Linked DNA regions of Saccharomyces cerevisiae S288C. Changing the gene in region 2 together with the main gene of any one other region gives a genetic interaction. Each region holds a gene or a part of one and is shown on either strand. Other genes may lie near its edges.

The links. A genetic interaction does not mean that the proteins touch.
Region 1: mutations in PAU10 (region 2) and WHI2 together harm fitness more than expected from each alone (negative genetic interaction), as found in Saccharomyces cerevisiae (2 studies listed by BioGRID).

The regions. Positions count from the first base shown.
Region 1 is NC_001147.6:409,060-413,004, reverse strand, and holds WHI2 (Whi2p), read right to left. Parts: upstream 2,136-3,945; coding exon 675-2,135; downstream 1-674. Other genes in the region: ubiquitin-binding protein CUE5, read right to left, coding at 3,345-3,945. UniProt on the Saccharomyces cerevisiae protein: Plays a role in the coordination of growth and proliferation. Required for entry into G0 phase under conditions of carbon limitation.
Region 2 is NC_001136.10:1,521,060-1,526,624, forward strand, and holds PAU10 (seripauperin PAU10), read left to right. Parts: upstream 1-2,189; coding exon 2,190-2,552; downstream 2,553-5,565. Other genes in the region: YRF1-1 (Y' element ATP-dependent helicase protein 1 copy 1), read left to right, coding at 5,262-5,565.

The DNA of each region.
Region 1 (3,945 bases), on a different chromosome or scaffold from region 2:
TTGTCGAAAAAAAGGTCCTGATTCCTTAATGTTTTATAATTTTTATCTGATAAATGGATCTTGTTTCCTGTAATAATGGGTTACCAAAAGTTTTTTATAAGAATATTTAGCTTTACCAGACTAGTATACATCAACAGACAATCACACTCCCTTAAGATGTTTTTCAACAGCAAATTAAAAGGAGACCCTGATTCTTAATAATACAGATATACGGTGTATAATGATGTTGCAGACTCGTGATCACAGTTTACTGAAATTAAGAAAAAATGACGAACTAACGAAATCCAGACGTGAGTCAGAATAATTATAACAATAAAAAAAAAAAAAAATTTCTATTGTTTTATACCGGATCAATGCTGCTTTTGAGTGATATTTTTCGAACAATGTACGACTTTATTATGCGGGTAACTTTGAAATAGACAATGGAAAAACCGTTATTTGCAGAAGGGGATGGGAAGATACGAAGAGAAATATCTAGCAGTCTTCGACGCCACCTTTTTTCCTTCTTCATGTGCTTTGAGACAGTTCATATAATTTTGTTATAGAGATACAAATATACATCATTTCGTAACAAGGGAGGAATAGAAAGAGGGGATACCAAGAAACCATACTGTTACATATTGTGTCTTTGGCCCGATCTCTTTCCATTTCTTTCTCTAATATATTATATACACTCACTGCACCCCAATAACGCTCAACTCTAAAGTCCAAACTCTACGAATATGTAATCGGACGGGTACAATGATTTTATGTAGTTCTGCTTCAGGATCAACGTTTGTTGGCAAGATCAATTCAATGATTTTCTTTGATTCATCTTTCCAAGAGCCGAAGACTTCCACTTCTAGCTCTATGTCTTCTTCACCCCACCAACATTTACGAGCAGGTTTTCTCCAAAATAATAGTAGCTTAGCGTTGATATTAGGTTTTGGCACTAGATCATACAATTTGGGCAACTCCGGAGGTTTACTTCTGGTCTGCGAACTATGTCTCGAGGAAGAGTGCGAACGAACGTTATCTGCTAGTTTCGACAGCCTTGATTTTCTCTTATCACGTGCTGTAGCAGGTGCTGTACTTCCGCTTGTTAAATTCCTTGCTGTAGAAATGGTACTGTTAGATTTACTTGCAGATAAAGAGTTAATCGATATGTTAGATTGCATTGGGGTGATGAAGTTGTCTTGAGAAGGTTTGTGCTCTGCCTCCCACTTAGCCTTAGCCTCGTTAAATTTTTGCCTAAATCCTTCAGTTGTCTCGTTAGCCAATCGGCAAAGAGACAGTGAACTTATAACCGTTTTGCCAGTTTCTTGAGTTCTGTTACCCCAACAAGTTTCCTTGGTGAATCCGGAGGAGCACAACATATCCATTAAATGTTGTTCAGCAGGTCCCAATTTTTTCGAAGTAGATTTAGTATTTGAAGAAGAATTGGACCCCTTTTCAATTTTCTGTTGTTGCTGTTGTTGCTTTAGTCTATTCGAAGAATACAAACCTTGGAAAATCGATGTTTTTGAAGTTAAATAACTGCCAGCAGCCATTTTCACTTGAGCCATAAAATGTCGCAATAAATCCTCATTATTTTCTTCATTAGTGGAATCAAACTGAAATTCCTCCTGAGGTACACAATAATAATCCAAGTCTTCTCTCAAAACAATAATAGCGGGCTTTTGATGTAAAATATCCTGCTCATTGTTGCTCGAAATTGAATTATTGCTACTCAGTCCAAAAAATCCCTTTGCATTCGAAACAAAGCTACTTGATGGTCTGTCAAAAAATTTCTCCACAGGATGATTATACAAATCATCATGCGCTTTTGTATATATCTCCATGATGTACTCAAAACAATCAGGAGGGAAATTAACAATGTAGACCTCATCGTCTCTGGTCAAATTAGTAATGACCTGACCACAACGGTCCAAAAAAACACCTGAGGGAAATAAACACAGTAATAGGGATTCAGGTAGAGACATCAACTGGTCCCTCGTAATGAAATAATGGTTTTCTTGAATATTCAAATGAATCAATGAATCACCATAATCCTCCTCGTTACCTTCGTACTGTGAGTTCTGTTGCTGTTGCTGTTCTTGTAGAATCGGAGCGGACTCTGCATTATCTGGAGAAACTTGCGTGATTATATCGTCCATTGTTTATAATAAGTGTAAGCTCAGACAACCTTTATCTTTATCAATTAATGGGGAGGCGGGAAAATTAATAGCCTAAGTGTGAAGGAGTTGTCTTCTTGCGCTTTCTGTTCTTTTCCGAATAAAAAAACAATTAAATTATCACTGGAGAAAATGCTTCTCAATTAAAAAAATCACTAAATAACGTTGTTTCTCTTTTCCCTTATTTTTAATGGGATAAACGTTCTAACAAAACTTTTTTTGTCTTCTAAATTTGGATCCTTATCTTCTTATGACCTTTGGGGGGAGAAAAGAAAAAAATGACTCTAAACTGACGCCGAGTTAGAGACTCTCTCACACTCTATCACTATGCCTATGCTGTAAACTTAAAACAACGATAGACCGTTTTTTGTCTTACTTTCCTCCTTAGTAATTATTACTCTAGAGCATAAGAAATTGGCCATTGAACATGGCCCGTTCTGACTAAAATCTTCTCTTCCTGATAAAATTTGCTTTTTTTATTTTGAATTGCCCTCCTTCGGGTCGTTTGGAAAAAACACCCAAACACCTCTTACATACAAGATTTGCAACGTTTTGATAAGTAAGTACATTATGCAGAGGTTATGTTTTTTCTTGACCGTCAAAACACTGTTCATGCATGCTAGCGCTGTCGATATAAAATCGGGATTTTCATACACCCATCAGGTTGGTTGAATTCTTTCTTTAACTCTTACTCATCTTTCTTTATTTTCCGGATATAGCACGTAACCTATCATTTTTTTTTCTTAAGGTTGCCTTTGCCGTTCTTCGCACTATAAAAAAGCACGCTTATGAAAATTTTTAATTACTTGACTTTTTAAATCTGTCATTGAAATTTAGATGATATGCAAAACACATTACGAAAATGTCAATTGGAGTTTTAAAGAACTCATGTTGCTGTTACAATACGTAGAATGGTCAGAAGTGTGCTGATGCATATACTTTGAAGTGTCAAAGTGTCTGAACGGGTGCCGTAAAAGACCTATTCTTTTTTATGATGAATTTATGTTTTCAATCTTATCTACATTATCTGAATTAATAGCTAACAATAGTTATAATGGAAGATATACGACTATCAACAATTCTGAAAATTTTTTCTTACTTCCTTCAAGAAGGTAGTGAGTTCTTCACAAGCGCGTAAAATAAGATGCGTCCAAATATTGGCACGTATACACATGTACGTAGATATCAGCTTTACATCTCGTCGTCACTATTGATTAAGAATTCATCCTCATCCGGATTTTTCTTATTTCTAGAAACAGCGTTTACTTTAGTTGGTGTAGTATCCAGGGGTTCCGGTGGTAGCGGCTGCCATTTCTTCTTCGTTTCTGTATCTGGAGTATCAATGTAGGTTGTCTCTGCCACTACTTTTCCAGTCGACTCACCAGATTTTGTTCTCGTTGGTAACTGAGGTGGCACATCTTCATCATCTTCAAATCCATCTTCGTTGTGTAGTGTGATTCCGTGGCTTTCTAAAGAGTCATCACCGACTTGAACGCCAAACGAATTGAATCTTCTTCTCTCAGGTTGCTGGGGTCTTGAATTTTTCCCGCCTTGTGACAAATCCACAATCTCTGGCTCCCATTCTTGCTGATCTTGGTGACCATGTTGGTTGTCGTTTTGCTCATTACCTGACGCAAAGTTTCTCCGGTAAGCATCACTTATCCAGTTACTAACTTTGTTTGCTGTGTCCTGTAATGACCGACCGGCTCTGTCCGTAAGCTCTGGCAGGTCCTTTTCTACAAATTGCGACCACGAATCTTCTTCCTCACTGTCTTCGTGATGTTGCTCCCTT
Region 2 (5,565 bases):
GCACCCAAAATAGATAGAGTGGATTACAATTTAGGCTATAGAACATAAACAAAAAGTATATGCAAATAAAAGAGGCTTGAACAAATCAAGAAAGAAGGAGGGCAAGAAAGTCTTTTGTGTGAATTTTTACAGTCCATTTATTGTAACTTAGAAATCAAATTGTGCGACTGGCCATTGTTGCTGTATTTAATAATGTCGTATAACACTCTAAGATTCCGTAATGATTCAAAAGCAGAAATTCGTTGGCTCTAGAGTCTTAAACAACTTACGCAACTACATATATTCATGATTCAAACAGAATGTACCTTTAAAGGTTAGAAATACGACCTCTAATCTGCTTTAAGCAGATGATGCAAGTGCCTTCATGTGGTTAATATATGTGCTATCGTATTAAAAAAAGTTTCCCTTCTCACGTGTCAATAAAGCATCACGAAAACATTCAATACTAGTGTTTTTCGCACAGAAACTTGCCAAATAGGCACCTTTATGCAGCACAATAATTAAAAATGCCCAACGTGACACATTCCAAGGTAATTTTGAAAAATCGTAAGCGCCATTCGTGAAACAGAATAGTGTTACACCCGTGAGAGTAATAGCGAAGTCAACTTAAGCAGATATTGCTACTTTAATCCGCTTATGCTGAATCCATATTCATCTTTTATCAGCTTTGGACGAGAAATTAGTTGTCTTTTAGGCAATGTTCGTGAGTAAGTTGGAGAAAAGATCTGTTTCAAAAGAGTCAACTTGAAGTAATGTCTCAAAAAAAAAAATGATAGTATTGCTTGCTCAAGTGCTAATTATATCTTTTCCTTGACAAAAGTACAAGTTATGCGTCTCCATCGGAAGTATTTTAAGTAGAAATATTAGGTACCAAAAGAAGTAAAAAATTAAAGCTATTCTTATTGGGTCACACTGACTTAAAAATTAAAGGAAAATATTTAATTGCATGTTATTTTGTTTAACTACTATCTTACTTCCACTGGTCCACCGGACCCTCAGGCTTCCTTGCCTTGTGGAACCAGTTTTTTTCTATCGAGAGGAAATTCTCCAGTCTAGTGATATTCCATATGAGAATGGAACACAGGTAAGCAAGGCAGTGGTGCTGATTAATGCGTTGAGAGTGCCAACAGAAAGAACAGAAGCTTGTTTGGGCAGGATATGTACAAGAATGAGGAATTTTTCTTTAACAGGGCTAATTTTGTAGTTTTCTTTTGAGCGATACTTAAATAGCATTTTAGATTCAGAAAAAATGCGTTGCCTAGTTATTGAGCATTAAACTGCGCCCATAAATTCAGGAGGCACTACCAACCCCTGCCACAGAATATTTACTAGGTATAAGTGTTTAACAGTTGCAAGAACCAAGCACATAGATGAAATTATTCAACAGAAGATTCAAAACGTAAAATAAAAAATATTAGCGCCATCCACTGGCCTCTGTACTCTTTTCTTTTCTTTCTTTTTTTTTTTTAACAAGAAAAATGGTACCCGGGTATCGAAGATGTTTCATTACACAAAACCTTGGCACATGATTCAATTCACCCTAACATCAATTAACTCTATTCGAGAAACATGTGCAGCTAACTGTAGCTACCTCGTTTATATATCGCATTCATTCTTGATTGTGGTATCTAATTTCGAATGCCTTAGTGATAGTGAACGGCATCGTAAGCTTCCACGGGTAGGTACGACTCTCAGTACATCATTGCTATTTCACTTCAGCTTGGGAAAAGAAACTGTAACATTATCCCGCGGCAATCGTTTAGAGCATACTAATATAGGCTAAGACAATAGCTTCCGAACGAGGGTCCTTGAAAAAGAAATATGACAGGCACGTAAAAGGGTTCTTCGAAGGCACATGGCGCCCCTATAACGTCGATCTTACATTGCACGCATACGAATACACATTGGCGCCGCAAAACATATCTTCATATACGAAGTTTGTGACGAATTCACGAATCGTTCAAGGACAGGTGCATTTCTATAGTTACGGTGGATAAGGTGTGTTAGATGAAATATGTAGGATCTTGAGGTGAGAAAAGAGTGTCAGTCAGTGGCTCGTTTGGGCAGCACCAGCTGGTGAAGGAATTTGTATAAATAGAGCAGACTTGACCGCCTGTCTTTGTGAATATGCAGTCATTTTTTTCTTCCTAGTAGGGCTTATATCAGCACTAAAAAACAAAACAAATACAATGGTCAAATTAACTTCAATCGCCGCTGGTGTCGCTGCCATCGCTGCTACTGCTTCCGCAACCACCACTCTAGCTCAATCTGACGAAAGAGTCAACTTGGTTGAATTGGGTGTCTACGTCTCTGATATCAGAGCTCACTTGGCCCAATACTACATGTTCCAAGCCGCCCACCCAACGGAAACCTACCCAGTTGAAGTTGCTGAAGCCGTTTTCAACTACGGTGACTTCACCACCATGTTGACTGGTATTGCCCCAGACCAAGTGACCAGAATGATCACCGGTGTTCCATGGTACTCCAGCAGATTAAAGCCAGCCATCTCCAGTGCTCTATCCAAGGTCGGTATCTACACTATCGCAAACTAGAGACAAACGCCAATTTTACGAACGGGTTTCCATAGACATTGAAAATGAACGAACAAAATAAAATAAATAAAAAACTACTTTTTTTTGATGATATAAATACCGTAGATTATATAAATGTATATTAATATTATAAACCTATTTGATCAATGACAGTGTTCGTGAAGCATTTTATGAATACGATGAACATAAGAAAGAAACTTTTACACTATTGTAGAAAAAGCGTGGACGGTAATAAAGCTAACAGAGTATTTCCAATAAACAATAATGAAATTGGAAACGTATGACTTCGCAGCACTTTGTCTTTCCATAAAAATGTGTCGCTGCTTCTTTTTTCATTTTTTGGCGCGTCGCGTCGGGCCGTATAGAATATGCGTCACTTCTAAGAACAAGACTGCAGATCAGGGCAGTGCGAGTTACAAGTCATGGTACCAAACTCTCATTTGGAGATCCTCATTTTTTGACACCTAAAATATTAAGATTTATGGTTTGGGATAGTTTTTTGTAACTGTAACTAGAAATAAAGCTGAGGGGTTAGTGTTCTACCAAAACTAAGATAGAGGGTGGTAAGATGAAGTGAGATGAGACAATATCGTAATATCCGTTTAAGTATACGCCGCTGATAAGTTATAATATAGTAGGGTTATTTGAAGTTTCGTTATAACTCTACAAAAACAACGTACCTATCACCGTATCGTCTTGTTCAGATATAGTCTCTTCGTATGAGTAGTGTCACATACAAGATTAAAGATGCATCAGTTATCCTTTTAGGATATTGCGGTTAGCATATGGGAATGGAAATAGGATGCCATTGTATCATAGCACCCGCATGAGTGTGAACACACTACCGTATTATAGCTCAGTGAATAGAGAGTGTTACGACAGTGAGGTGGCATAGTATTCTAATGTAAGGTCTGTGTAAGTAAGAAATATCCTGAAATGGCATCCGTTCAAGCAAATTGCAATATTAAGGAACTTTTACGTTAGTGATACCATGATAGTGTTGCTACCACAAGTCAATATGTTTATGTATTATTGTTGAAGGATAGAATATTTTTATGTTTAGGTGATTTTGGTGGTGATTTTTCTGTAATATTGGCATAAGTGTATATAAATTGAGTGGTTAGTATACGGTGTAAAAGCGGTATAACGTATGTATTAAGAGCAGTTTTACAATATTTGGGGCCGCCGAATGAGATATAGATATTAAAATGTGGATAATCATGGGCGTTATGGGTAAATGGCACAGGGTATAGACCGCTGAGGCAAGTGCCGTGTATAATGATGTGAGTGCATTTGTACTGATTTAGTGAGAGATGGGCCATGGAGTGGAGTGGAATGTGAGAGTAGGGTAAGTTTGAGATGATATATACTGTAGCATCCGTGTGCGTATGGCATATCAGTATACAAGTGAAGGTGAGTATGGCATGTGGTGGTGGGATTAGAGTGGTAGAGTAAGTATGTGTGTATTATTTACGATCATTTGTTAGCGTTTCAATAGTGGTGGGTAGAACAATAGTATGGTGAGTAGTAGATGGGAGATGGTAGGGTAAGTGGTAGTGGAGTTGGATATGGGTAATTGGAGGGTAACGGTTATGGTGGACGGTCGGTTGGTGGTAGTACACAGGGAGATGGATGGTGGTTGGGGTGGTATAGTTGAATGAGTCAGGGTAACGAGTGGGGAGGTAGGGTAATGGAGGGTAATTTGAGAGACAGGTTGGTCAGGCTTGGCTTGTCTTAGTCTTAGGCTTAGGCTTCTCTCTGGTGTGGGTGTGTGGGTGTGTGGGTGTGGTGTGGGTGTGGGTGTGGTGTGGGTGTGGTGGGTGTGGTGTGGTGTGTGTGGGTGTGGTGTGGTGTGTATATATATGTCACTGTATTGCATGCTGGATGGTGTTAGACAAGGCCGTAGGGACATATAGCATCTAGGAAGTAACCTTGTACGAAAATAGGCAATATTTCCTGTTTAGGCGATTGTGACGCAGATTTTAGTCCAACGATCTAGCGTCAAGGAATTTTTTTATAGTGGGACATTGCACCAAGGAAGTAACTTGATACGTCGTGGGTGAATGGGTCTGTTTTCTTATTCGGCGGGGTAATACATTTTTGGGGGAAGTTTGTCTGTCTGACGCGCCATATGTAGGTACGCCAAAAAGGGCTCCTCTACTTCGAAGCGCGAGGTCGTATACCTAATAAGGAAATGTAATTTATAACTTTCTATTATATTGGTCTTTTCGAGAGCGGAAGAAGTTGTAGGCTAAGCGCAGGCTAAGCGTAGGTCCATATTTAAAGTATCCAAGAGAATATCCACGAAGCGGCTGAGCAACGAACAGAATCCTGGTTCTCCTCGACTAAGCAGATAGTTAAGATACTGTGCACCATGGAAATTGAAAACGAAAGTACGTACCGACTACTTTATTTTTGCAGGCCGGAAATCAAGCGATGAATGAGACATCCTTCTGTTTTCTATGTTGGGACAGACAGTCGCTTATCTTAGTGAGATTTCTTATTAACTGAATTTTCTTTGCTGCTGCTGGAGATTTGCACCTGCATAGCGCAGATTCTGCTTCTTCTCAATAGAGTAGCTTAATTATTACATTCTTAGATGATGATAAGACGGAAACTGGACAATCTTTTGTTTATATTGATGGATTTCTTGTCAAAAAGCATAACAATCAACATACTATTGTTAATTTCGAAACTTACAAAAATAAAATGAAAGTTTCCGATAGGCGTAAGTTTGAAAAAGCAAACTTTGACGAGTTTGAGTCGGCTCTAAATAACAAAAACGACTTGGTACATTGTCCCTCAATAACTTTATTTGAATCGATCCCCACGGAAGTGCGGTCATTCTACGAAGACGAAAAGTCTGGCCTAATCAAAGTGGTAAAATTCAGAACTGGTGCAATGGATAGGAAAAGGTCTTTTGAAAAAATTGTCATTTCCGTCATGGTCGGGAAAAATGTACAAAAGTTCCTGACATTTGTTGAAGACGAACCAGATTTCCAGGGCGGACCAA